7 linked regions of the Rattus norvegicus genome follow. The protein of the gene in region 6 interacts with the protein of the main gene of each other region in a pairwise test. Links are inferred from orthologs where the notes say so. Each region holds a gene or a part of one and is shown on either strand. Other genes may lie near its edges. The genes, in order: Ccdc172, Lzts2, Wwtr1, Trim27, Ssx2ip, Tead4 and Golga2.

The links.
Region 1: the proteins of Tead4 (region 6) and Ccdc172 interact in binary tests that used the Homo sapiens proteins (3 or more experiments, as listed by UniProt). The two-hybrid records come from large-scale screens. The link is inferred for Rattus norvegicus from reciprocal best matches to the Homo sapiens genes TEAD4 and CCDC172.
Region 2: the proteins of Tead4 (region 6) and Lzts2 interact in binary tests that used the Homo sapiens proteins (3 or more experiments, as listed by UniProt). The two-hybrid records come from large-scale screens. The link is inferred for Rattus norvegicus from reciprocal best matches to the Homo sapiens genes TEAD4 and LZTS2.
Region 3: the proteins of Tead4 (region 6) and Wwtr1 interact in binary tests that used the Homo sapiens proteins (3 or more experiments, as listed by UniProt). The two-hybrid records come from large-scale screens. The link is inferred for Rattus norvegicus from reciprocal best matches to the Homo sapiens genes TEAD4 and WWTR1.
Region 4: the proteins of Tead4 (region 6) and Trim27 interact in binary tests that used the Homo sapiens proteins (3 or more experiments, as listed by UniProt). The two-hybrid records come from large-scale screens. The link is inferred for Rattus norvegicus from reciprocal best matches to the Homo sapiens genes TEAD4 and TRIM27.
Region 5: the proteins of Tead4 (region 6) and Ssx2ip interact in a two-hybrid assay, tested with the Homo sapiens proteins (2 studies listed by BioGRID). The two-hybrid records come from large-scale screens. The link is inferred for Rattus norvegicus from reciprocal best matches to the Homo sapiens genes TEAD4 and SSX2IP.
Region 7: the proteins of Tead4 (region 6) and Golga2 interact in binary tests that used the Homo sapiens proteins (3 or more experiments, as listed by UniProt). The two-hybrid records come from large-scale screens. The link is inferred for Rattus norvegicus from reciprocal best matches to the Homo sapiens genes TEAD4 and GOLGA2.

Annotation. Positions count from the first base shown.
Region 1 is NC_086019.1:267,613,920-267,618,163, reverse strand, and holds the start of Ccdc172 (coiled-coil domain-containing protein 172), read right to left. Parts: upstream 2,801-4,244; 5' UTR 2,751-2,800; intron 2,478-2,750; 5' UTR 2,432-2,477; coding exon 2,353-2,431; intron 2,126-2,352; coding exon 2,040-2,125; intron 1-2,039.
Region 2 is NC_086019.1:253,830,739-253,834,898, reverse strand, and holds the start of Lzts2 (leucine zipper putative tumor suppressor 2), read right to left. Parts: upstream 2,801-4,160; 5' UTR 2,759-2,800; coding exon 2,351-2,758; intron 803-2,350; coding exon 140-802; intron 1-139. UniProt on the Homo sapiens protein: Negative regulator of katanin-mediated microtubule severing and release from the centrosome. Required for central spindle formation and the completion of cytokinesis.
Region 3 is NC_086020.1:143,843,942-143,847,441, forward strand, and holds part of Wwtr1 (WW domain-containing transcription regulator protein 1), read right to left. Parts: intron 1,686-3,500; coding exon 1,549-1,685; intron 1-1,548. UniProt on the Homo sapiens protein: Transcriptional coactivator which acts as a downstream regulatory target in the Hippo signaling pathway that plays a pivotal role in organ size control and tumor suppression by restricting proliferation and promoting apoptosis.
Region 4 is NC_086035.1:48,243,349-48,247,471, reverse strand, and holds the start of Trim27 (zinc finger protein RFP), read left to right. Parts: upstream 1-1,414; coding exon 1,415-1,834; intron 1,835-2,366; exon of another isoform or gene 2,367-2,505; intron 2,506-2,571; exon of another isoform or gene 2,572-2,709; intron 2,710-2,917; coding exon 2,918-3,013; intron 3,014-4,123. Other genes in the region: uncharacterized protein LOC134482717, read right to left, coding at 447-483, 1,088-1,416. UniProt on the Homo sapiens protein: E3 ubiquitin-protein ligase that mediates ubiquitination of various substrates and thereby plays a role in diffent processes including proliferation, innate immunity, apoptosis, immune response or autophagy.
Region 5 is NC_086020.1:237,978,964-237,982,463, forward strand, and holds part of Ssx2ip (afadin- and alpha-actinin-binding protein), read left to right. Parts: intron 1-2,843; coding exon 2,844-2,994; intron 2,995-3,500. UniProt on the Homo sapiens protein: Belongs to an adhesion system, which plays a role in the organization of homotypic, interneuronal and heterotypic cell-cell adherens junctions (AJs).
Region 6 is NC_086022.1:163,255,543-163,259,544, forward strand, and holds the start of Tead4 (TEA domain transcription factor 4), read right to left. Parts: upstream 2,801-4,002; 5' UTR 2,292-2,800; intron 1-2,291. UniProt on the Homo sapiens protein: Transcription factor which plays a key role in the Hippo signaling pathway, a pathway involved in organ size control and tumor suppression by restricting proliferation and promoting apoptosis.
Region 7 is NC_086021.1:35,980,493-35,984,582, reverse strand, and holds the start of Golga2 (golgin subfamily A member 2), read right to left. Parts: upstream 2,801-4,090; 5' UTR 2,753-2,800; coding exon 2,669-2,752; exon of another isoform or gene 2,575-2,668; intron 1-2,574. UniProt on the Homo sapiens protein: Peripheral membrane component of the cis-Golgi stack that acts as a membrane skeleton that maintains the structure of the Golgi apparatus, and as a vesicle thether that facilitates vesicle fusion to the Golgi membrane.

The sequences.
Region 1 (4,244 bases), on a different chromosome or scaffold from region 6:
ACGCCTGCATGTGTATGTATGTGGTATGTGGTATGTGTGTGTATATTTGTATATGGTATGTGTGTGCATGTGCATATGATATGTGTGTAGTATGGTGTATATGTAGTGTGTTGTGTGTGATATATGTGTGGTATGGCATGTATGTAGTGTGTGTGTTGTGGTGTGTGGCATATGTGTGTGCATGTGTGTGGGGGATGTGTGCTTGTGTATGTATGTGGTGTGTGTGGTGGTTATGGTATGTGGTGAGTGTGTGCATGTGTATGAGTGTGTATGTTCCTTTTCTTCTGTTGACTTCTATTTGCCAACCCAACTTTCAAAGCATCTTAAGTCTTCTTCCAGGGAAAGACAGCTACATGAAGGTGCTGTACACCTTTGCCCATGCCACCAGGATTCCCCACTGCCGCTGGCCTACTTTCTCTTTTAGTCCAGAAGTAAGAGCTGGGCTCAATGAATACTCACCCCACATTCTGTCTTAAAAGATAGTTTCTTTTAGTTAAGGGGCAGAGAGGAAAGGTTGGTTGGTTGGTGGGTACTCAGAGTTAGGAGGGATAAAGGCTGGTATTCGACTACACAGAAGGATGGCTACAGTTAATGACCTAGACGACGAACTTTGAAGATTTGTAATATTTTCACCACAGTCAGGATAAATGTTGGCACGGATATATTAATCTGGAGCTGAGCATTACAAAATGCATAACAAATAACATGGAAGCCATAAACATGCCCAACCTTTATTTGTCGAATTATCAAGACCGAGCTCTTTTCTTGTTACTGGCCCTCAGTAGTGAATGCACCTGTGTACAGTGTTGGCTCAGCAACAGATACCAAGAGAATAAAGGTGAATTTAAAACAAAACTAAGTACATTCCTCCCAAAGAAAGAGGGGCTGCAAACAGGAGCGCATGTTGACACTTAGATTTTACAGAGCTGTCCAGGGAGGGTTTTATGATGCATGACAGGATGCAGAGAGAAGAGAGGCCGTTCACCAGGTGGTGAACGGGCAAGAATTGTTTTATCCACAGGAAAATGAAAATTCCTCACAAATATACGCTGTTATTAGAGTAATATAATGTATAAATAAATTTATAACTTACATCCCTTTTACATACAAATTTATATTTAATATGTGATAAAATTAAAAATGTATTAACAAAAAAAAAAAGTCTGAGTGATCAAGTCACTAGACTGCCTCTATGCACTGCTGCCTTAGTTCACCTTCAGGTGTTGGGACATTACTATTGGACATCTGATTCCTCCTTCCAGACCTAGGCCTCTAGCTCTCACCATCTTCACTGTCCATCCCCATCTCTGTGCTCAGAGCACAAGGAGCTCCCCTAACAGCACATTTACTGCCCCTCTCTGGTCAAATCTAGCAACGTTTCCCTCCCAACTCTACTCCGCCGCCCTCTGCTGGCTGTCCAGAGTCCTCTCTCAATGTGCCTGGGGAAGAACCGCCCCCTCTTTGCTACAAAGGGTCTCTCCTACTAAGTCTCTTTTCTCCCTCAAAATTCTATCCATAGTTCAACCACTTCCTTGAAGCAGCCAGGCTCGCTCGGTCCTTACTTTTTAAAAGGCGGAACTTTACAAATGCGGCCGGAGAGAGAAATGAGAGAAAAGATAACTTAGGATGAGACAAGTCCAAAACTGTGGTAGTGAGTTGGAAAGCAGAAAGCCATCATTTGAAAGACACATACGATCCCATTACATCCACGGAGCACACTTAAATTACTTACTGTCTGACATTTATATGCTGCCCTGACTACTTATTGAACAATTATTCTTCCAATGACACTTTTCCTTATAAACATTAACCATCCCACAAAATGGACGGGGAATCCGTTAAGTCTGGATTCCTCCGGGCCACTTCCTGTTAAAAACCAAAGACCGTGGACTCAGAACCTTACACGCTAGACAACGCTGAATGACAGAATATAGCTGCTGAGTTTCCTAGTTGATGGATAAGTAGTTAGTAAATTGCTCCCCAAAGCCAAGTTCAGACACTTCCTCAAGTGATACTTAGCATGGTCTATGCATCCATACCTTGGATTCCAACTTGATCTTTTCTTCATTCAGATCCTCTGTTGCTTTCTTAATTTTCCCGCGACATCTGGCAATTTCTGACCTCACTGTAATACCAACAAAATCTTTACTGGCCTCCGCCTTTCTGAAGCCTCCATCACGGCAGCACTTGGCAGGTGAGTTTTCATCTGTCTTCTGTCCAGGTTGCAAACTCCACTTACAGTGCCCCCTTCCCCTCCAGTCTGTGGGGCAAACACCCAGGTCCAAAAGCCAAATGCCCCCCAAGAGCAAACCCCAGCTCCAAAAGCCAAATGCCCTCTAAGGGCAGGCTCACCTTCCCGCATCACTCTGCGGCTCTCCTCGGCCTGATGCTCAGTGAAGATGATGTGCTGAAACAACGACTCCAGACTCATCTCGGGCCAGCTCACCCTTAATATTTTATAAGGGAGTCTGAGGATCCTGGAAAGCACAATGAAGAGGGTTGTCTGGCTGTTCCCTGCCTGCACCACCCACTCTTGCCCAGCAGAGCCCCAGGGCAGGAGCTCTCGGCTTGTTCCTCCATGCTCGCCCAGAGCCGGGCCCATTCCTCCTCCATGTTCGCCCACAGCCCGGCGTGCTTCTGTGCTGAGTGCAGCCCCCACAGAAAAGGCCTGGGGGACAGATACAGTAACTTTGGCTGGGGACATGCTTCCCCTTCCCAACCCCCTCGCTTTCCCAGGAAAAGATGCCCACAGGCAGAGGCTGGCAACTGACGCCCCCTCAGGTGTGTCCAGCCAAAGGGGCCTCCACCGGCCTCGCGAGAAGTCATCTACGGAAGCCTGGTGGGACCAGTCTGCAGCGACCTGCGCTCACGGGTTCGGGGTCTTTCTAGAGGTGGGACTCCCAGTCTCCAAGTATTATAAAGTGCAAAGTACCCGTGATTCTAAATATAAACTTTTGCAAAGTCGTATCCTCGGAGGCTAGCAAAGACTCCTACAAATGTACAATGTCTGACATTCCACCGTAATCATTCCTTCGTAATCAAAGCATATCTTTTTTGTCTGCCCCGAAATTAATCACTGCCTTTTGTAATCAAGCCTTGGTAATATTAACACTTCGATATCTGTACAATGTGTGTCAGAGACCAAAGTGGTTGCTAATTAAGGCTTAAATGTGAAAGGCACCTTTGGGACTTTTGCATGATATTTTTTTTTTAATTAAGAAATATTTTCAGTTTTGGTAGGTCAAAATATTGACATTGTAATAAACATCTGACTTTACTCTGAATGTAAAACTGACACTGGCTAGACTTTTAAGAAGTAACTTTTAATGTGAAAGTTTGAATGTGCTTAAAATTAAGTAAAATGAAAATTTTGTCACATACACTAGGCTTAATTAATAGCCCACTAATGCCACAATATATTCAGTTAAAAACTTTAATCTATTCTATATTTCTACCTTAATTTTCATCTGGTCATGTCTGCATGAAGTTTAATGTTTGAACTATCAGAATACACACTGAAATTTGAAATAAAGTTAAAAAGAATTAATTACTCAGAGCTATTCAGAAGCTAGTACTGATGAAAATTTTCCCACTGTCTTTTGGGTATCCCTTGTTGACAAGCACTTTTTATTTAAAACCTTGAAGTCCCATGAATAAGGAATGATAACATTATTTTGTTACTTGTGTTTTGATTATAATTAGTAGTTCAATATTTATTATTTATTTGCTAAGCACTCACTTTCTGAACACACTACGTCTATTTAAGATGATTTTGACATTTCTTTTCTAATATAGTTAAGGTGACAGACTGACAGACTCAAAATATACCAGTAAAAATGAGGTCACCGAGCTACTTAGTTGAGTCACTATCTGAAATCTTGATGTGTATTCGTTCTTTTAATCAAGCCAGTTATCCTATTAGAACTATGTTTTTTGTTACTTGAAGGGCTAAGTAACTTGTCCACACTCACGATGGCTAGAATGTAGCCAATTCAGGATTGGAATCCTGTGTCTCAGGAAGAGGCATACTTTGTACAGGAAAGTAAATGGAGACCAAGAAAATGGGAGTTGAGAGTCATGGATTCAGCTGTTATTTTCTTACTATAACACAAACATAGTGGACTTTTGCCATTTCATTTAAAGCTCTTCATGAATGTACTTTGTACCTTTATAGTCCTCTGATACATGTGTGCATGTGTCTAGCTCAGATATAACCAAATTCTTCCATGTACTCAAGGATGGGA
Region 2 (4,160 bases), on a different chromosome or scaffold from region 6:
CTCCTCACTGCTTTGAAGGTTATGCTCATAGCCTTGGGGGTGTCACATCATGAGTCTTTACCCTCTTCCTCCCCAACAGGAATTGTCCCTAGGCCCTGGGTATTCAGCCACACCGCCCCAGGACTGCCACTGGCCGCACCTGACACACGGCGGCCTCACTCTCATCCACACTGTCCCGCAGCTGCTGCAGCTCTGCCTCTCGGTCTCGAAGCTTCCCTTCCAGGACACAGTGTAGCAAGGCCTCATCCGAAGGGGGTGGAGGTGGTGGAGGGGGTGGGGAGCGGTCTCCACCCGAACTGCTGCCAGGGGAGGCCCGGGCCCCACTGCCCAAGAGCCCCCCAGCTACACGAGCCCCCAAGGAACCTGTGCTTTTGCTGGAGGAGGACCGGCCACTGTCTGAATGGGAGGGCCCAGTAGGGACCCCTCGGGCTGGACCAGGCAGTGGCCCTCGGCCAGGGCCGTGGGAGGGCAGGTGCCCACCTGGGGAGTTGGCAGTTGGCTCGGCACCTCCGGTGCTGTAGGTGGGCAAGCTTGATAAAGAATTTCGGCCAGAGTCTGACAGTGTTCCTGAAGGGCAGCCACTGGCCCAACCGCTGAGTGCCAAGGGTTTGTCAGTAGCAGAGGAGGAAGAGGAAGAGGAGGAGGAAGAGGCTGGCCCCCCAAACAGCTGTGTCAGGCTGCCCTGGCTCCCAGATAGCCCAGCAGCTCGAGGACCAAGGAAGCCAGGTAGGGATGGCGCCCCTCGAGGTTTGGGTAGCACTGGCTTGAAGGCTGTTGGTCGGATCAGGATCTTCTCCATATTCTGAAATGAGGTAGCATGTGACACTGTGAGGATGATCTGCCCGACCCCTTTCTTTTTAAAAAATTTAGTATTGTTGTGAGACAGGGTTTTACTCTATTGGCCTGGGTCCACTCACTATGTATCCCCTTGAACACAAGCCCTTCAAGATTACAGGTGTGTGATACCAAGCCCACTTTGCTTACTTGATCTTTCAAAACACACACACACACACACACACACACACAGAGGGGGGTGCATATGTATGAGTATGGATACGTGGTGCCTATGTGTGAAGATCAAATGTCAAAGTGTCAAAGTTAGGAGCTTTCCTCAATCACTTCCCACCTAAGTTTTTACACAATCTCTGGACCTGGATTTCATCAATCCAGCTAGTCTTGACTGGCTAGCAAGCCCCAGGGATCTGCCTGTCTCTGCCTGACAAGTGCTGAGATTCCAGTCCTTTGCCACAACGGCCACCTTTTTATATGGGTACTGGATCTGAACTTAGGAACGTGTATGAGTACACTGTCACTGTCTTCAGACACACCAGAAGAGGGCATCGGATCCCATTACAGATGGTTGTGAGCTACCATGTGGTTGCTAGGATTTGAACTCAGGACCTCTGGAAGAGCAGTCAGTGCTCTTAACCTCTGAGCCATCTCTCTGGCCCACCTTGATCTTACAAAATCATCATACTACTTGGCTTTCCCATACAGGGTTCTCACCCCTATAAATGAAAAACAATGGTTCCCACCGTTTCTTTCTTTCTTTCTTTCTCTCTCTCTCTCTCTCTCTCTCTTTCTTTTTGGAGCTGGGGACCAAACCCAGGGCCTTGTGCTTGCTAGGCAAGTGCTCTACCACTGAGCTAAATCCCCAACCCCGGCGGCACCGTTTCTAAACGTCTACTTATGTTAAGTAATTCAAAATGCTTATTTTTAATCATGATAATAGCCACGCAAGCAAAACATTATCCTCCTCTCCTACTAAAAACAGGATAGAGTCAGTCCCAGAATAAAGGTAAACAAAGGCTTCGCCCAAACACACACACGCACGCGCACGCACACACACACACACACACACACACACACACACACACACACAACACCACACCATACCACACCACACACCTCTATAATAACTAAAGCAACTTGGCTGGAAGTGGTAACAAATGCCTTTAATCCCAGTACTTGGGAGGCAGAAGCAAGCAGATCTCTGTGAGTTCAAGGCCAGCCTGGTCTACATAGTGAGTTCCAAGACAGTCAAGCTACAGAGAAAAACCCTGTCTCAAACACCAAAAGAGAGAGAGAGAGAGAGAGAGAGAGAGAGAGAGAGAGAGAGAGAGAGAGAAACACGAACTACTATATTGTTCATTTGGGAGTATTAATTCTAACAGGAGCCTATAAAGATTATCCTCTAACCTTAACTGTAAAGACACAGAAAATGGGGCTCAGACAGGTTATCTCCCTGAGCCAGAAAGAGAGATAAGACAGAGTCCATGCCTCCAAATTCTAGCTTCCCCAGCGGGGAGCTCGACCCCACCCAGATCCTCCCAAGAGGGCTGCCCGTTACCTTCTCCAGCCTTCCAGAGACAGGGATGAGCTTTGGTGGGGGCCCACGGAGGTGGGCATTGTGTGCCTGATGTTCTCGGGGATCTTCGACATCACTGCTTGGGCTGGGAGGTGACTCTGTCCGGAAGTCCTCATTGACATAGGTAAAGCTGTTGCCTGGGACAGTCTTCCTGGGTGGCACAGCTGGGCAGAGTGGTTCCTGGGCCTCATAGCCACCCCGGAGCAGCCCATCCTGCTGGCGGAAGAAGGTAGGCCCAGGGACACCATGGTGGCGTTGAGGAGCAGGTCCCCCAGGACAGGGCCGGCCTGAGATAAGACTGCTCACGCTGCCCATTGCTGGAGTTTGTGGGGCAGTGGCTGTCTCACGTGCGGGCTCCAGTGGCACTGGCAGAGTGTGCACAATGGCCATGGTGGCAGAGGTTCAGGCCTGGCCAGGGGCCTCCAGGGCAACCTGCGAGCAAGGCATTGGCGTCAGAGTCCCTGCACCTTGAGGATCCTCCCCCTATTAGCCTTCTCCTGACCCCCTCTTCCAGATAGAACATTCCCCATATAGTGAAACAGCTTCACCTCCCAAGAACTGGCAATGAACCTCAAGTCCCTCTGGGCCTCAACTCTAGTCTGGAACAAGGATAAGGAACAACTCAACCAAACAGAGATGAAAGAATGGGAGAACTAAGAGGTTATGCAGGGTTCCTTGACAGAGGAGACCCAGTTAAGCCCAAACCTGTATCCCCTATATAGCGAAGTCTCAGATTGGGCAGAGATCCCTAACTACTAGCTCCCAGTACATGTCCCTACTCTCTTGGGACAGGTGGCCTCATTCCTGGGCTATTTGGGCAGAGGACAAGTCAGGGATACAATCAGTAACTCAGATGGTAATTAGGGAACAAAGAACCAAAGCCAGGCACTGTCCAGCCTCCCACTGCTAGGCCTCAGTTTCTCCCAGACACTCAGGCGGCGTTGAGGGTGGAGCTGGCCAAACAGGAAACCTCACAGGTCTTAGGAACCCACAGATGCCCTCTGGGGTCTCCTACTTCCCAGAGGTCGATATAGGCTGTGCTTGTTTCTATGTCAACTCTTAGCTTCTGCCATCACTTGGGACTAAGGTAGCCTACACAGGCCCTGTCCCACTGTCAACCTTTATAAACCTTCCTGCTTTAGTTGATCTTCGGAATAACTCCTATGGAATTTGAGCAGGAGCCCATTACCACATCTGGTAGGATCTCAAGGAAGATGGCTCCACCCCCACCCCCCATCCTCAGTCTTGCTCCTTCCTGGGAAGGATAGCAAGCCTGCACCCGGAACTCCCTCCCAGTCCCAAGGCTGCCGATGACCAAGACTTAGGCATCTGCTGAAGTCATCATGTAGCTCAGGGGCCAAGAAGTGGACAGAGGCCTCCATGAGAGAGTGTGTATGTGTACACTTGTGGTGTGAGTACATAGACAGGACCATAAAAATGAAGAGAATCTGTGAAAACGTACATGAAAATATGCAGTATGAGTTTAGGCAGATAGTTCGTGCACACACACACACACACACACACACACACACACACACACACGAGATGTAGGGGGACATGACAAAAACAAACAGGGTTGTGCCATGCACCACAAGTGGGCCTCAAACTCAGGGATCCTCTTGCCTCAGACAGCTGGGATTCTAACCTTGTGCTCCTATGCTCAGCTGTACATGTGAATTCTTTTGTTTTGTTTGTTTGCTTTTCCAAGACAGGGTTTCTCCATGTAGCCCTGGCTGCCCTGGAACTTGCTCTGTAGACCAGGCTGGCCTTGAACTCAGAGATCCACCTGCCT
Region 3 (3,500 bases), on a different chromosome or scaffold from region 6:
AGCTGTGCTGGTTTGCCAGCCAACCCCAGCATCTGCCTGGCTCCCTGTGCCTAGCACTGAACTAGCCTTTTCACGTGGGTTTAGGGATGTTTCCCACTTTCTCCTGAGAAATATCCAAAGCTCCAAGTGTTAGAATTTAAAATACTGTGCTCATGAAAGACGTTTCCAAATACAACCTATTTTAAAGTTAAGTCAGGAGCTGAGCACATACCTACAGCAGCAGATCAAGCGTTTGGCATGCACAATGACGAGTCTGATAACCAGAAGCTCGAGCGCACACATACACACACACGCACACACACACACACACACACACACACACACACACACGCAGGCACACGTGTACACACAAATGAACACTGAATGATAGTAGTCTGCTCACATCTAATTTGGCATTTCTTTGTTATGCCAACACTTGCTACCCATAAGCTTCATAGATTTGGAACTTGTGGGAAGTTTTGGGTTACAAACACTGGTTGCAGGACCAGGGCAGTCTTCCTTTATTGGCTGGGAGGGTCAGCTGCTTGAGGATATAATGCATGCGTGCAAGCTTTAGACCAGTAATTACAGAGTTCCTGGAAGACTCCTGACTCTGCAGAATGTTTACTCGGCTCTGCTCATCTACAGTGGACCTTACCTTAGTGTTTTTAAAGTGAAGTCAAGGAGCAGAAAATACCCCCAATTCTAAAAGCCAGACTGGAACACTGTAAATGTAGACTGAATGGGAAGAAGCCACCTGAATATTATATAGGAGGCTCAAACTCTGGCTGTGTTGTCTAACAAGCTGTGACTCATCATGTTGCTTCGTCTGTCTAATACTGCTACAGCATGGTGTTGCGATTTTAAGAAGAAAGGTATCCAAGCCCCTTGCCTGCTGGCAGGCTCACATGTGTACTCTGCAGGAACCAAATCACAGGAAGGCAGCATAGGCCCTCCTTGCCTCACCTGGTGTGAACGAAGACACGAGGTCAAGATTCTTCAAAGAATTCAAGGAAATACAGAGAATGTCGGAAGCACAGTGGAAGCCAGTATCAGTGTCACAGATTATGCGGCAAAAACATCAAGATGTAACTCAATGAAGGAAACACTCCAGTGCATGAGGAGATACAAGGCTAACAGAGCAGTTTCTGAACCCCCAAACCGATTGGGTAGACTCTGTCAGGTCTCAGAGAAACTCAGAACAGGTCTTGCTTAGTACCTGTGGCTCCTCCCAGCACGTCTCACCCCTTCCCACCCAAACCTTTCCAGCCCAGGGGATGGGCTTCCTTTCCCTTCCTTCCCCCAGCTTCTCTGCCTGATATAACCTCAGCCATTTGGGCCATGTGCTCTCTAGGTTCTCCACTCTTGGCTCTCAGCTTCTCTCTTGGCCTCTAAGTCCTAGGTTCCTCTCCTCTTCTCTCTCCTCTCTCTCATGGCCAGGTTCAGTCCAGACGCTTCCAGAAGCCTCTGGCTGAATCCTCCCTCACATATCTACAATCAAACCCTTCTCAATCATAACCTTAATTTCATTCAGACTCCTTCAGCTCGGAGTCAGAGGTTGGGACTTACCAAGATTGGGCTGGGACACTGCCATGGACCTCTGTGGCACCGATGTGGAAGTGATGGTGGGGTGGAGGTTCACATGATTCAGAGGCTGATTCATCACCTTCCTAGGGTCTTGCCATGTGGTGATTTTTTCTATGTGACTAAAGGAAGGAAAACAATTAGTTACTTGTGTAAATGTCAGAATTGCCATCGACATCACCAGTAACAGTATCTCGGTGACCATCTTCCCCTTGGGTCAGCTTACAGGCGGCTGATGAATTGCTTTTGGTTCTACCAGGGACTTCCTTAGCCCATTTGGCCTTGCATTGTGGTTGAGCCACGAGAAGGACTGCAGATGGTTTAACCCAAGGAGCTTAGACACACACACACATCACACCTCAGCTGCTTCCTCACACCCTCAACTCCCCACTCACAGATACCACTGAGAGCTGCCCTCCAAAAGCTGGCCCCATGCTGTTTCCAAACCACATCACAGACCATTCTTACTGCTTTACAGACCTGTCCCACTTCACCACGCCCAACCTTTGGTGGATGGAGGTGAGTGGGTGGGTGAGTAAATTCACACAGTGCCCCTACATCGATGTATAAATGGTATCAGAGATCTTTCCATGTCCACAAAGACAGTAAGGTTTGCCTCTTCCCGTCAAGCCCTACACAATGCCTAAGACACATAAGGAATGTGACTGCTCTTTCTGTTAACCACACATGAAGTTTGAATAACAAAGGTATTATCTCTGGTGTCCAAAACTACCATAAACCCTCTGGGTTTACACTAGGTCTAGAAATTTCCTTTCTGTAAAGTTGTATTTAGTTTGGCTTTGCTTGGCTTTCTTTCTTTCTTTCTTTCCTTCTTTCTTTCTTTCTTTCTTTTTCTCTCTCTTTCTTTCTTTCTTTCTTCCTTTATTTATTTATTTCTTCATTTTGTTTTGTTTTTTCTTTCCTCACAGTTAAATGCTTCTTCCAAGACTGGGATGTGTTACCGTGGGGAACTCTTCTATTGCCAAGAGCGAAGACATGGATGCCCTTCTAAGAGTTTCATAGTGAATATAATTTTAAAATAAAATAAACAATAAACCAGGGGCTGAGTGCAAGCCTAGCTCTGCGCCGGACGTGGGGAAGGAGAAGTGGGGTCAGGGTTAACTTTGATTACTGAATGTCAAGCACAGTGAGTCAGCAGTGAGCTAGAACAATAATAAAAAGCCATGCTGTAAAAACCAAGCCTAAAGAGATGAGAATGCAGGACCCTGATCACTGAGAGACAGAGATACAGAGGGGGGGGGGAGGGGGAGAGGGAGAGGGAGAGGGAGAGGGAGAGGGAGAGGGAGAGGGAGAGGGAGAGGGAGAGGGAGAGGGAGAGGGAGAATCTTCAGTTTGACAGCCTAATTCTGTTTTTAAGCCTTGGATAAATCCTTTAGTCAGCCTTTGGACATAAGGTAACTCAGATAGCCCCAGGTTCTTTGTCATAAGCCTTCAGAATAAGGAACTGTCACAAACAATAAATAGTTGGCATCACTGAACTAAATGTCAAAATTAAGTAAATCCCCTTTAGCAAAGCAGTTAAAGCTAAGGCCAGCCCCATCCAAACCTTGTTTCCAGGATAGGATTAGCTGGCTCATTGGTTGAAAATGCTCAGCACATACACAAGAGGCCCTCAAAGCTCCAGAGCCCAAGCAAAGCTGGGCACTGTGGTAAATGCCTATAATTCCGTGCCCCAGAGGCAAGATGGGAAGTAGAGAACCCCTAGGACACGGCTCAAAACACCTGAGGTGGTGATCCTCTGACTAAGGCACGCTCTTGCAACAAATGTATACCCATATCTATTCATCTATTCATTGATCTATCTGTGTGTATGTGTCTGTGACTCTGTCTCTCATACACATACACACACACACATCCAAGATTTCCAAGGTAGGCTTGTCCTAAATAAATATTTTCTGTTCTGGTACCATAAACCC
Region 4 (4,123 bases), on a different chromosome or scaffold from region 6:
CGCAGAATTCTCAATTGGGCAGAAACAAGCAAGTTTTAGGTTCTACTCAATGCCGTTCAATGCACTGGACACTTCATTTAAACTAATGGATAAAAATCTTTATGGCTCAAGCTGTGTTTTAAAAAGTTTAACTCACGGATGGGGAAAATTCCTGAAAGCAACAGTGTATGGGGGCTCAAGGAAGACACTGAAACAGACTGCTGGGAGTAAGAACTTTATTAGCGCCATAGGCAGATAGGCGGTGGACAATCAGAATTTCTGGCCGCGCCACAGGCGCCAGGGGGAGGTGGGGGCTGGGGAGTGTTCGAGAATGAAGCCCACGTGGCAGAATCAGGGTCGTTTCTTCTAGGGTCTCATAGGAACCCGCGGCCAGGCTCCTTCCTCAGCAGGTGGTAGGGAAGAAGTGTGTCATCAAGTAGCTCTTTGATATGTCTGGTCTGGCTACTTCACTTGAGGAAGTGAGAAACTGGGCACCAGAGGAGCCTGTTAAGAAGTTAGGGACTCACAAGCGGGCTCTCGGTGAGGCAGCTCCCTAGTAGCCGGAAGGCTAGAGAGAAGGGGAAGGACTTCAGTAGGTATCAGGGTCTGGTGAGCACTCTGGTCTGGATTCTATCAATCCCCCATTTCACGCGAGAAGAAAATGAGGCTCGGAACGATAAACAAACTTACTTTAGGGTGGAAGTAGAAGTGGGCTTCTCCATTTCTGCCACTGAGAAAAGTTGCTGATAATAAAACCTTTTTCTGGCGATTATTATCGCCTGGAGTTGGGTGTGTTTCAGAGTGCTTCACACACTGGGAGGGGCTTAGCTGGTCTCTCAGCCCAGTTTTCCGGCACTTATGCAAAGCCACCTTGCATTTAAAGGAGCCAAGGCCTAGGCACTAAGAAGACACCCGGCAAAGGACTACGGATCCACCAAAGCTTAGAGTATCCCGACCCCACTGCCAGGGACACCCTGCTCCCACTGCAAAGGGCAACCACCACCGACTCCCGGGCTGGGTACCGGGGCTCCAGGACTGCGCCGAGGAAACCCGCCTTCCCGCCCCGGAGGAGAGCGGCGCGGGAAGCCAGGCCCCGCCCCCGGCCCACCTCTTCCGCTCGGCCCTTAGGAGTCTGCGCGGCCCTGGGATCCCTTCCGACGCGGCCACGTTGCCCGGTGAGCCATCCTGCAGCGCCGGGTTCCCGACACCCCTCTGCTCGGCTCTCAGCCGGGCCCTGGGGCCCAGGCCTTCCCGCGCTGTCCGTGAGGTGCAGCTGTGCGGGGACGGGTCTGGCCGCCCCAGAGCTCCGCACGCGTCTAGGATCCCCGCGCCGGAGGCCCCACCCCGCTCCGGATCTGAGAAGCCGAGAGAGAGCGCCGGGCTCTGCCAGAGCTCGGCTCCGGGCTCATGCCCTGCGGCCCAGCCGGCTCGCGCCATGGCCTCAGGGAGCGTGGCCGAGTCCCTGCAGCAGGAGACCACCTGCCCCGTGTGTCTTCAATACTTTGTGGAACCCATGATGCTCGACTGCGGCCACAACATCTGTTGCGCGTGCCTGGCCCGCTGCTGGGGTGCCGCGGAGACTAACGTGTCGTGCCCGCAGTGCCGGGAGACCTTCCCGCAGCGCCACATGCGGCCCAACCGGCACCTGGCCAACGTGACCCAGCTGGTGAAGCAACTGCGCACCGAGCGGCCGTCGGGGCCGGACGGCGAGATGGGCGTGTGCGAGAAGCACCGCGAGCCTCTGAAGCTGTACTGCGAGCAGGACCAGATGCCCATCTGCGTGGTGTGCGACCGCTCGCGCGAGCACCGTGGCCACAGCGTGCTGCCGCTGGAGGAGGCTGTGGAAGGCTTCAAGGTAGGGCCGGGCCGGCGGACAAAGAGGAGAGCCGGGGGCTTCCTGGTTTGCCGCCGAGAAAATGGCGAGCCGGACGTGGGGCCCACCGCCGTCATTTCCTCCCTGTCGGCTGCGGAGCCTCCGCGCTCAGACTCGGAAGGAGAACCTGTAGCTGGCGAGGCCAGAGGCGTCCCCACCCCCACCCCTTCTCCGAGCGCCCCCTGTTAACTGCCTCAACGCGTGCCGCGGCTGGGACGGCGCGAGGAGACCCTCCCTTGACAAAGGAGATGCACATGGAGCCATGTCCACTTCCATAGGCCTTGAACACCTCGAACTTGCTCTGGCCCAGGATATCAAACCAGACAGCCCCTGTTGGCTGGCCGAATTCACATCGACCGATGCCTATCACTTAATCTAAGCCCCCAGCGCTTCCCTGTAACCTGTTTTAGAACCTAATGGAAATGAACAGAGCTCTTTACTGCTTGAGTAAATCATTTAGCCACTCTCAGACTCGGGAGATAACTTAATGAAGAGGAAGTGAACTCACAGGACCTGAAGAGGCCTTTGTTGAATAAACACTGGCACAGCTACACAGTAATTCGAAAATGTTACATATAAAGTAACTCTCAAGTGATAATGAGTCTGTTTTGAGGACTGCAGGGATATGTACCAACAGTTAGATTTGTTTAAATGTGAGTTCATCCAAATGTCAGTCACGTTTACAAAGCTGTATCATTTCACTCACTGGAAATAAAGTTGTAATTTAGTAATGCTTACCAGTTCTGTGCATGAGGAAAATAAATCATTTTTTTCTGTATTCGTCTGAGGAATAGCTTACCTTTTGAGCCTCTTTACCCAGATGTCTCATAACCTGTGCAGAATGCTTCTAGGAACTGGTAGGTGGCTTGAGTTTAACAAATTTCTAAAACAGCTGTGCTGGACCCTGTGCTTTAGGCTCTTCCCAGGAATGGCACTGTGGTCTGAGGACAGAGTCCAGCCCGGCCTTGGCATCTGTAGTTTGGGTTCCTGTGTCATAAGCAGAGTAGCTATTTTGATGCTGAGATCTGCAAAATTCTGAATTGGCTGACTGTTTACTTTCTTCAGGAGCAAATCCAGAATCGGCTGGACCACCTAAGAAGAGTGAAAGACTTGAAGAAGAGACGGAGGGCACAGGGGGAGCAGGCACGAGCTGAGCTCCTGGTAAGGGTCCAGGTCTCCAGCCTGCAGAGAGGCATTGCATCAGGATAGCCTTGGCAAGGGTGTAATGAAAACTTCTAAGCAGAGCATTTCCCCTTGGTGTCTGTCATTCCTATCATTTAGCTCCATCCTGTCTCTGAGTGAGTGCGATCTTGACACCTCTTGCTTGAAAACAGGATGAAGAAACTTCTCAGTGATCTTGTGTAGACTAAACTTAAACATACAATGTATCATATCAGCTTTGGGAGGATTTTCCAGAGAGAAATACTTGTGCCAGTGTGTCAGTCACACTGCTTTGGATATACTCAGTAAATTGATCTTTAGCCTTAATTTTGTCTAAGGTTATATTGTATACTTTATACCTTTGAAAGACTTATCCAGGTTAAAAGAGGTATAAGGGGCCCTTGGAACAGTTGAATTCAAGTCAGATTTTAGCAAACTTTCTGAAAGGGGCCAGTAATAAGTATTTTTAGCTTTGTTAATTTACACAAGCTAAATCACAACACCTCAGTCATTGCATCTCAAAAACAGCCATGTCTAATACATAAATGAGTGGGTTTGGCTGGATTCAAGTAAAATCTTTCTTGACTGCTCTAGAGCCATTTTGCTGACCATTTGTTTATTCAGAAATAGTTTCACTATGCAATCCAGGATGGTCTTGAACTCTCCATATTCCTGCCTTAGTCTCCCCAAGTGCTGGAATTATAGTATGCACTGCCACACTTGGTTTATAATCTTAGAACTCTAGGTTTTTTAGGATGTCTTAGGTAGCCCCAGTTGATCTTAAGTTCATTATATAGTTAAGAGTGATCCTGAAGTTCCAGTCTTGCCTTGTCTGCCTTCCAAGTGCTAGGAATGCAGGCATGGAGGAATTAGAAATGTAGGAAAGATAGACAAACCAATAGAAACATTGTATGGAGAGGAACCCATAAGCACCCCCTAAAAAATCAGGGCATGGATTACTTACTGAGACCAAGTAAACACATCCAGGAAACTTGTGCTTGCTCGATCATACCAGGTCATGTCCACAGAGTGCACACCTAACCCTGCCATTTCACTGTGATTGTTTCATGACTCCGCCTGCCAGGCAAGATGTTCATGGGCTCCAGTCAT
Region 5 (3,500 bases), on a different chromosome or scaffold from region 6:
GGAAATCGTTGCCTGCATTGTAATGTTTAAGATGTTATGGTATGGAGAACAGAGGACTTGTGGGAACCAGTTCTCTTCTACCACCCCACTGTGTGGGTCCCAGGTATCCGCTCGGGCTGTCCAGTTTGGTGGCAGGTCCCTTTACCTGCTGAGCCGTCTCACCAGACTGTTAAGGCTAACAGCAGGTGTGCCCTAAGATTTTAGTGCCATGATCTGAAAAACGGAGACCCAGCCGCCCGCAGCTGCGGCTTAGAGTGGCACAGCGCTTCATTGAAATTCCACATTTGATTTCCTAAGACAGCTCCATGGGGATGGAGCCACGCACAAAAGTGTTTTCTCATTGCCCATGCAGTGTACATTTGAAACAGTTCATGTTTAGGCTTCCCTGCCATTTATATAAGGTGTCTACACACGCATGCGAGGAGGACTTAGGGCGACAGACAGACAGAGAGGAACGAGATGCTACAAAATCCAAAAGGATCTTAAGTCCCAAGTGCTCGGGCCCTGAGTGTGTGCTGAGGGATGCCCAGTCAGTATTGTAAGAGGCACAGTGGGTCGCAGGCCTGAAAAACACTGATGGCCAGGGCCAGAGTGCGACACGTCTTTGTCGTCCTTCTCTGCTTAGACCCGACCAGTGCTGATGTGACCTCTGAGTGACCTAATGACCTGACTGAGGGGACCTAATAACCTTTCTTTTAATCTTCTCTCTTCTTTCTCCTGTGCTGGGAGCCAGCTTGGCCAGGAGTGGGTTGAGGCTGGATACAGCCAGCGTTGGGCATAGCTTTAAAGATGGCTGCTCTCTGGCCTCCTAGCTCTCTAACTGCCATAAATGCTTGTTGATAACTTATAAAAAAAAATCTTAAAAACGTTGTTTATTCTATGGTTAAAAACTGTTGGCTTCTTTTCTCTTTAACTCTGTTCTTTATTAAACGTAACTCTCTGTGCTTTACTGAACTCTTTAGGCTTAAATAAGCACTAGGGAAACTTAACTTTCTTACCGTTCTGTAACTCTCACTGTTCCATGATTCATTAAGTACTGAAAACCTAACTGTTAATATTATTTGTGCTTTAATAAACGCTAGTACCTGGCGATTAACACATGCTGTTTAGCCACAGGGAATTTAGAAAAAAGACCATTGCTAGTACCTTTTTCTGGTGAGTCTGCCAGAAGCCTCTCTGTCTAAGCTGGTTAACTCTTTATGAACAAGAGAGGAAGGAAAGGAAAAGAATTAAGATGCTTTACACAGGCGAATATGCACAGACACATACACGTTCATACACTCACACTCTGGCTGGGCCCTACTGTCACAATCAACTCCACAAGTATTCATGCATGTTTACATATATGTATATATACTACACACATGTAGACAGACAAGCAGACATAAACATTTGGCTGGCTGGTTGACTGGGTAGGTGGGTGGATGATGGATGGATGGATGGATGGATGGTGGGTGGGTGGGTGGATGGTGGATGGATGGATGGATGGATGGATGGATGATGGATGGATGGGGCGAAGCTCCCCAAGCCAAACCATTCAACAACTTTCTTTTCTCTGGCCTTTTAATGCCTTCTTAGACAAAAAGTTCTTTAGAACATTACTTCATAAATAAAATGTTACACAAAATGGGAGTTATAGAAGGATGTTGATATAAATTCAAAGCAACAGATTTTACATGGCCTTGCCTTATCATAGTGCACACTTGTGACCCTCTCCTTCGACCTAAATGTCTTTCCTTGATCACAAAATTGTCCCAAGTCTATTTCCCTTTTTAGTGTAACTGTGAAAGCTCGTTGGATTTTATTACTTACTGTTATGAAGAGTAGTAGCATTTCACTCTTGATTCTAACCTTATTACATCTTTCTAGCAAGATGTCATTCTGTTACATCTTTCTAAGACCGTCTCTAAAAGCTTTTTACCTAAAATTATTTGAATGAAATCAGGAATTCCATAAAATCATTACCTATTTGTCTATATAGCATCACTACCGGACAGTCCATCTCCGTAGGTCTGCAGAGATCTGCTCCAGAGAATGGTCAATACTTAGTTATATATTAATATATATTTAATAATATATTTATATACTTAATATTAAATATATTTGTATTTATATATAATTTAATAATAACAGGGATCTTTTCTCAAATGTAATCTCCTCAGTCTTACCTAAAGGAGTGAATCTGTCACAGCTTTATAGTCTATGACAGAACCATCTCAGGAAGGTCACTTGCTAGTTTCTGGCTTCTAGATGGCTTCTGGCACGCCTGAAAGGTATTGTTTTGAATTATTCAAGTATGTCTGCCTGCCATGGATGTTGATAACAAATAAGGGCTATTTCATGTAGATGTGTGCTTGGCCTGCACCGTTAGCACTGTTTCTCTGAGGTAACTTAGCAACATTGGACGTGTTCTTAGTACATCAGAGAAACGTGTCATCCCTGAGATGGCATGAGGAGAATGAGGATTAATGTCTGACTCTAGCTGATCTCTAGAGGTCGTTTAGTGAAGTCGCCTGACCTGCAGACAAGTTGACACTACCCAGAGCCGCGTCCGACCTCTGGGCTCTGTGGGCCTGGCCTGCTTCTCTAAGCCTGCACTTTGCCTTCGTGCACAGTTTGAGGGTTGAGATATGGCAGCATCCAGCACAGTGCTGCATAGACAGGAGCTGCCTCTGCCCAGACATCCGTTAGGCAGATTGGTAGAGATTTAACTGGATCAGGAGTGTCTGTGTCGCCAGTGTTAACTTGTTTGTATTAGGTATTAGCTAATAGGTCTTATCGGTCTGGTCCAGTGCCTGGGTGTAAGGCCACTGTGACGCTTGTGTGTGCCCTCTGTGCCGTAGGTCATCTCCGATGTAGAAGACGACGCTGGGGAGCTGAGCAGAGATGGTGTGTGGAGCCTTTCCTGTGACACTGTCAGGGAGCAGCTTACAAACAGCATCAGGAAGCAGTGGAGAATTCTGAAAAGCCATGTGGAAAAACTTGATAACCAAGGTAACTTCTGCGCCACGGTGTGCAGGGCGGGCCCCACAAACAGTGCTGTGGGCTCAGAGCGGCTGCTCACAGCCAGGGTCAGACTCTGCTGGTTTGTTCCGGGTTTCACACTGAGAGGAGTGCGCTTGGCTTCAGAACAAACCTCAGACAACAGTGTCCCTCAATGTCCAGTGCTGTCTGTGTTGCCGGCAAATCATGCGAATGTGGGTTTCGTAGAGGCCAGAGGCACTGGTTCCCTGGAGCTTGTACAGGGAGCTATAAACCACCTAACAGGGAGCTAGGGGGCCTCTCAGGAGCAGCGCACACTCTGAACCTCTCAGCCGTCTCTCCAGCACGAAAGTTCCTAGTTGATAAATGAAGTCCACTTATAATATATGGAAATGTTCTAACTGGTGAGTCTCATCCCAGTGCCATGAGCCGTGAAGGGCACAGTACAGTTCTCACTGTAGCTCCCACAGGGCTTTGCATGAAACGTGCTCATCGTCTCATGTCCATTTAATAGGAAG
Region 6 (4,002 bases):
CCCACCCTGGGCCTGGACTTTGACTGAGGATCCTACAGTGCTCAGCAAATGTCCTGAGAGCAGGCAAAAGTAGAAATGAGAATATGGGAGCTAGAGAATTATGTTATCTGGTGGAAGCCTCCCCATGGCACGGGACCCACAGAAAATGCCCAATTCATGTTGGCAAAATAAATATGATACGTGGTGAGGTTGCCCAAAGGGTGCCCAGAGAATAATCACACAAAATCCTCTAGTCTCACATGTTACAAGACTCCAGGTCCAATCCTCAACATGAAAAGGGGAAGAGGGAGGGGGTTGCCAAAGCAAGCTTAGGAAAACATAGGATACACCATTTCCAAGGGCCCTGGAATGAAGGGGAAGGGGGAGGGGGTTGCCAAAGCAAGCTTAGGAAAACATAGGATACACCATTTCCAAGGGCCCTGGGATGTGCTAACAGACGCTTTAGAGACACTGAATTTTCAGAGCAAGCTTTCTGCACTGGCTTTAGTTACTCACCCCTCATTCCCACCCCGCAATGTTACTCATCAGGAAACGGAGCCCAAGAGCCTTAAAGGTAGTGAGTATCAAGATTCATGTCCAGGTCTGTCTGACCCCACACCTGTGTGTTCCCTACCCCATGAGAGCTGCCCTTGTGGACACGGCCTGAGCAGTATGGAATATGAGGTATGTCCCAGCTGACTATCTACATCAGCAGGAGAGAAGGAAAGATAAACACAAGAGCCCCTCCCCCTCACTCCTGACATGGTTCTCTGTTCCTTCCTTCCGAGAAACCACAGCCATCACTTTTGTGTTGTGTTAATGAGGGAGAACCCTGATGCCAAGTCTGTGACTCTCACACCACCGTCCTGTCAAGATCCTGGACTCAGCTACCAAGTCGGAGGCAGCCCTCACCTTCCTGTCACTAAAGCTTTCCTACAGTGAGCTATCAAGTTTCCCCACAGAAACAAGGTCATCTAGCTAACTGTGAAGAATGAGGGGGAAGCTGAGGCAGAGGATATCCAGTTTGAACCCAGCTTGGGTTTCAGAGCAAGACCCTGGCTATTCAGGAATGAGAGATTTTCTTCTCCTCATTGCTTCAAGGTTCCTACAGAGAGAACACTAACACCCCTGTCCTTGAAGGCAACTTTGAAACTCTATCAACCGCCCAACAAACACTATCCAACAACCCATGTGGTCAGCTAAGCCTACGGACTCCAGTCTGTAATTTTTTTTTTTTTTTTTTTTGAGGCAGGAGAATGAAAGCCACCTCCTGCTGGGGTAGTAGGACCAGGCCAGCCTAGACTACAAGAGACTTCTGTCTCAAAAGAAAACAACCTAACAAGCTCCTTTCCTTTTAGAGGGTCCACCCCCATAAACGTTACCAACAACCCATCCTAGCCCCTGGGGGCAAAGATCTCAGCTTTGCTTAGCCTACCAGCAGTTCCCTAAAGGATTCCGCCAGAACAGGATCCACACTCCCTCAGAAAGACAGCTGCCTGGAAGGGGGGCAGGTGTAGGCAGCTTCCTGCCAGCAAAGCTCAACCCAGCAGAGCTGGGGTGAGGAGTGGGGGGCGGGAGGGCCGGGAGGGGACACTTCCAACTACTACTGTCAAATTCTCCCTGAACACAAAGAACTTGGAGACATTGTCCCCTGCTCCGGTTCTGCAAGAAGTCAGAGCCAGAACCAACATCCTCAGAGCGACGAGGGGTGTTGGAGAGGAGGCATCACACACCCACCCGGACACTTAGGGTTTCAGACAGCACCCTCTTCAAGTAGCAATGCACTCACTGTCGCATTGTTTAGCACAAACAAATACACCTCCTGAAAGCAAGGTGAGTCACAGCGCGCAGATATCTCTTCCTCAGGTACACCCAAAACTTAAGGATGCTGGCGCAGGTAAGTAATACCTCGCTTGAACTCACTGAGTGGGATGGATGTGGGTGTGCCTGGAGCCCCCTGACACGTGTGTGCACCGCGGCGCGCCCCTGGGCTGCCTGCTAGAGTAGAGTGCCTTGGAGTTTGGGAGCAATGGTCCATCACTTCTCACCCATAGGGCCCACGGCGTCTCAAACCCTGAGGACCTCTGCAGAAGGTCCAAGCAACACACCTCCCTTCTGTGCTCCCTTCTCCAGGCTGAAAAGTAGAAAAGGGCCTGACTGAGGCTCATCAGTCTCCAACTTCTAAAACTTCTGCCAGGCGACCTTGCTCTGTCCAGTCTCTGGACTCCGCCGCCCCCACGTGCCCCACTGGTCCCCTAGTGCTGCCCGAGACCATGCAGGACGCGGATGTCGCCCGAACTCAGCAGCCTTACCGGTCCCAGGGTTCAGGAGGCGGGGTGGGAGCGCTCGGCCGGCTGCACCAAGTCCACGCGGGGGGCCAAGTCTTCCAGCCGCGGCGACGGCTTCGGGGCCCGAGCGTGTAGCTGAGGCGGTCCCCACCCCCGGGGCCGGAGTTTGCAGAGGAGCCCGGTAGGAATGCGCGGAATGGGCGCTGGAATGAGACGCGCGCGGCTGGGGAGGGAGCGGAGGGAGTGGCGCTGCCACCCGCACCTTAGGGAGGAGACCCGGCCTGAGAGAGGCTGGGCTCCGCGGCTGGGCGGAGCCCGGGGGACCGCGGGCGACCACGGGACGGGGCACGACGGAGACACCCGAGAACCCCGCGGACCCCTCGGCGCCTCTGGCCACTCGTGCCCACACGCCTTGACTGTGATCTACGGATTTCCCGCTCACCTCCAGCTTCCCACATCCCCGAGTGGCATTGAATCCCTCCACCACCTCCTGCTAAAAACCGTCCCCTCCGCCGGGGTGGGGCGCGCCTCGCTGTGCTCCTGGAGTACGCGGACCGGAGCAGGAAGGGCTGTTCCCTTCCCCGAGGCTGCTACGGAGGACACTCGCTCCGGGAGCAGGAAGCAGGAACTCCCGGCTCTGCTCCCAGATCCGCCACCGCTTTCCCTCTCCAGCCCTCTCCAACATCAGCCTTTCAGTTCTTTCCTTGTCCCTTGGGATCTGCAGAACTGTCACTTCTCAGAAAGCAGGGAAGAAAGGGGAGACCCGTCATGGACTCTGTTGTAACTCCATGAATCTTTATCCTGTGAATAGGTCCACCGGATGCTGGGACAATAATAAAGAGTGGGTCCCAGCAGTGGTTCACAGAGAGCTGGAACTTAGCTGCTGATGACCCAGGGTCCGGGACAGCTTGGCCATGAAGTTAGAAGTCTGAGTTTCAAAGAAGTACGTCAGATCAATTTAGAAGAAACACGTGGGCTCGGGCTAGGAGTCTTAGAACCATTTGGCTTAAAGCAATTAGTTACTACCTCGCTCCGGCACTCACCTCTTCACTTTGGGAAACTTAAAATCAAAGAAAAGCCTTTGCTATTCCCCCCAAATCAAACAATCTCTGAAGCACTATCATTAAATTTTTATTGCCGTGGCTCTCCCAGTCTGATCTGGTGAAACAAACTCTGGAAGGCGGCAACTCTCCAGATCTATCTTAGCGTTTACCCAGCACGAACAACTCAAGATGGAGATGGAGGTAATAAATGAGGGAAGGATAGCCTGGGAGACGTTGAAAAGTAAGTGTTATAAATGCCAGGGTTGTACCTAAGAGAGGGGATCTAAAGAGTCTGCGGAAATGCCAGCATCATGGGACTGAGAATCCCGTCTTACAAAGGGAAGACTTTGAAGGATTGCAGCCCTCGTTTGGATGTATAAATTCTGGTATGCTTATTAAATAGTGAGTCATATCAAAGCTTGGGCACATCCCATTCGCATGAAAAGGACATCGCAGGGCAGCGTATCTGTGAGTGTAGAGTACAAACTGTCCCACCACTTAATCCAGCAGCCCTTCCTTGACTCCGCTGCCAAGCTAAGTGCAGAAGCCCCTGCCTTCAAGAAGTTCACGGTTGAAGCAAGACAGTAATTGTTAATGCAAATCCACATTCAAGAACAAAAACCAATGCAATTCAAGGCAAAGGGGCGACTTTAACCAGTTTGATGTCTACTCCCAGCCCTGTGTGTGCTAGG
Region 7 (4,090 bases), on a different chromosome or scaffold from region 6:
CCAGGGCCTTGCGCTTGCTAGGCAAGCGCTCTACCACTGAGCTAAATCCCCAACCCTTATAACCTGGTTCTTAAATCCCACTCCTCTTTTCAGAACATTTTCTCTTGCTGGCATGGTGGCACACACCTTTAGTCTCAGTCCTCAAAGCAGAGGCAGGTGGACCTCTGTGATAAGATAAGGATAGCCCAGTCTACACAGCAAGTTCCAGGTTAACCCAGGATAAAGGAAGACCCTGTCTTTATTCTTACTTACTTTTGAGTATGTTTTATGTGCACAAGAGTTTGCCCATATTCACTTATGTGCACTTCATGTATACCTGGTGCACAGAGAGGTCAGAAGAGGATGTCAGAACCCTTGGAACTGGAATCACATAAGATTGTAAACTATCATGTGGGTGCTGAAAATAATACTCAAATACCCTGTCTTTAAAACATATACGTGTGTGTGTGTGTGTGTGTGTGTGTGTGTGTGTGTGTGTGCGTGCACATGGATGTTCGTATACTAGGAGACAGGGTGCATGGGTATGTTATGGTGTACACAAGAATGTCAGAGGACACATGTATGTGTATATGCTGTGAGAGAGAGTACATAGGCATGTCATGGTACATACAACAATGTCAGAGGACAGCCTCAGTGTTGCTTCCTCTTTCCCACTCTCAGAGAACTCTCTCGTTAGCACACACACCAGGCAAGATGGCCTCTCAGTTTCTATAATTCTGTCTTCACCATATAGTTAGCTAGAGAACATCTGAGCTTACAGATTCATGCTGCCATGTCTGGTTTTATATGGAATCTAGAAATTCAGGTCCTCCTGCTTGTGTTGAACTTCTTTACCCAATGAGCCATCTCCCTGTCAAAAGCCAAAGTACTGTCAATAAAACCTCATGTTAATGGTTTTTGTTGTTTTGTTGTTGCTGTTGTTGTTGTTGTTGTTGCTGTTGTTGTTGTTGTGCTGGGGATTGAACCTGGAGTTTTATGTATGAGAGGCCAGAATTCTACTACTAAGCCATATATACACAGCTTCCCTTCAAAACAAAACGAAACAAAACAGGATTGCTGGGCATAGTGGCCTATACCTTTTACCCAGTACTAGGCAGGCAGAGGCAGGCAGATCTGAGTTCAGGGCCAGCCAGGAATACATAGACCTTGTCTCAAAAACAAACACAAAATTAAGTTTAATTTTAAAAAGACTGTATGTGTATGAGGGTAGTTGTTTGTTTTGCCTACATATATGGCTGTACATCATGTACATATGCAGTAACCTAATTGGCCAGAAGAGGGCATAATATGCAACCTCTAGAACTGGAGTTAGAGACAGTTGTTAGCAATACTAGGTGAAGGGAGCTATGCCCAGGTCCTCTGCAAGAGCAACAAGTGCTTTTACCTGCTGAACCTTCTCTCCAGACCCAGTATTAAATATTACATACACCAAGCTGGTATCAAATTCCACATATAGTAAAAAATAACCTTGAAGTCCTGATCCTTCTGCCTCTACTTCCAGAGTCAGGGAAATATAGGCATGTATTGCTCTGCCCAGTTAATGCCATGCCAGGATCCAAGCCAGAGCCTCATACATGGTAGGCAAGCACTCTTGCCAACTGAGCTGAGTCCTGATAAACACCTAACAACTTAGTGCACTCCTAACCCCACTGGGGCCGTTTTATCAACACATATTAAAGACACACAGCAGTACTTCCTAAACGTGCTTCCTAAAGTTTACTTCCTAAACTTTACAATGTGACAGAAGGGCAGAAGCCACGAAGGCAAAGCTTTAGTGAACATGGGACCAGAAAGGGCCTAAGCGTCATCTCAGAGAGAAGTCTTTACAAATCTAAGAAAATGCCATGCCCAACCTTTACAGTTTTTTCTCTCAGAAGAAACATGGGAAAGTGATGCTTCCCATGAGATGCCTCACACGCATCCTGTGGCTCTCATCAGTTTTGAAATGACAATTTGGCTGAATTTCAAGCTGTTAAGTTCAGTTCCCCAAGAAACTGATCAACACTATACATGCATTTTGCTCCAGAGAGATTACAGTCTCTCTAGAGAGCAGAAAACTGAAAAATAACCTAAATGCAAACCAAACCCATTCTTCCATGTCAGCAAGGAACACTGAACTGTGTTGTGTGCTCACATTAATGCTAAGTTAAGGGACTGTGGGTACCTAAAGCGCCTCCGCACTAGATTCCAAACTCGGGCTCCCTTCCAGGTGGAACTAAGTTCTCCACCAGAGAAACAGGAAAGGGGGCATCAACATCAGGTGAGCAGGTGGGGCAATCCAAATCCGACTCGGAGTAGTAATGACAGTTTCGGGGGGGGGGGACTGTGACGTAACTACATTCCACTCCATACTACCAACGCCCGAGTCGCCTACAGGGCCAGGACCCAGGTCCTTGGAGGCAGGTGCCCAGAGAGGTCTGGACTGGAGCGTCCCGAGTCAAGGGCTGAGACCCTGTGTCACTGACCAAAGTCACCTAGGGGCGACTGAGAGGGCGGGGGCTGGGTTGCTGAGGGGGCGGGGCTGGCTGAGAAGACTTCGCTGGGGGGAACCCAGGGAGCTGAAGGGTTCTCTACCTGTGTGTCTCGGGAAAGGCTCGGACTCTATTCATAGTCCTGCTGTTGGAGGAGCTCGGGTGGGGTCAAGGGGCCGCGACCCGGAGCGCTTTACCTTTTTCTTGGCCGCAGCCAATTTGCTCTGCCTGGTTTCTTCCGACATCCCGGGGCGGGGAGGGGGGAAGCGGGGGGGCCACATCACCACGATCCCGGCAGCCACCGCGAAACTGCTTCCGGCAGCTACGACTCCTCAACAAGAGCCAGAGAAGGCGGGTGCAGAGCTTCACTAGGACGCTCGGAAACCCGGCGTGACCTACCTTCTCCAAGCCCATTGGTTGATGAGAATGATGACTGACAGGGAGGCGTGGTCACGCTGTCGCGAGGCGGGAGCGACGGGTGGAGTTAACGACGAAAGCTGCGCGCGCAGCCATGACCCCTCACAGCCACCTATCGGAGGGAGGGGCGGGACAGCTTTAGCTTGGTGCGTGCGCAGCCGGACGTGAGGCAGTTGGTGGTCTCCATCGTCGATTTCTGGTTACCTGAAAAGCAGCCGTTTAACCCCAATCCTGGACCCTTCAGAGTTTAAGCCCACCCCGCTCCGGGTGCCCCGGACCTTAGGGTTCAGGAGGTGGGTGACGAGCGCGCCGCGCTTCATTTCACAGCCCTTTCCCTACTCTTCACTCCTTCCCCCAGACTCCTCACCAGGCCTCTCCATAACCAGTTCTCCACACATTCTCCTCCCTACCTTGCGCACCCTGACCTCAAAGCCCCATCCCCCATCCCGATATCTCGGGTAATGCCCCGGAGTCTGGGTCCGGGCCCAACCCTTTCCCGCTGCGGCTCCCGCACCCCTTTGGTAACCCCATTCTCATCAGCCCTTTCCTCGGGTTCCTCCCCAGGGGTGAGTCAGAATTCAGCCGAATTTACCATGGGGGCTACCGATCGCCGGTGAGTATATCAGCCCCACCCCCTCCCTCTGCATCCCCACCCATCGCCTCCCTCTTCCTGAGCCTTCCGCTGCCAAGCCTACTTCTTTCCTAATTCCACTCCTTTTCCTCTCTCAGATGTGAGGTCCTACCCTCCCATTCCTAGCTGCCCGATGCCTACGCTTCTCCGACCGCTCCTGCCTCCCTCTTCCTGAGCCTTCCGCCGCCAAGCCTAGTTCTTTCCTAATTCCACTCCTTTTCCTCTCTCAGATGTGAGGTCCTACCCTCCCATTCCTAGCTGCCCGATGCCTACGCTTCTCCGACCGCTCCTGCCCGCAGTTTTGTCCCCTGACCCAGCCTGCCACCAGACCTGCATGGCTTCTCAGTAAAGGGATCTGCCTTTAGGCTGTCCACTCCCTAAGCTACTCTTTTTTTGGGGGGGCACCCCCAAAACTCAGTTCATTTCTCATCCCTCAAAGATGGATTTTTAAAGTACTCTTTTTGATGAAATCATGATTCACTCCTTTTTAGTAACTCCTTTTGTTCTTTATAACCCTATCCCCTTTGAGACAGTTGTTAAAACCAAAGATGGGAGGAGAAAGACCACCAAC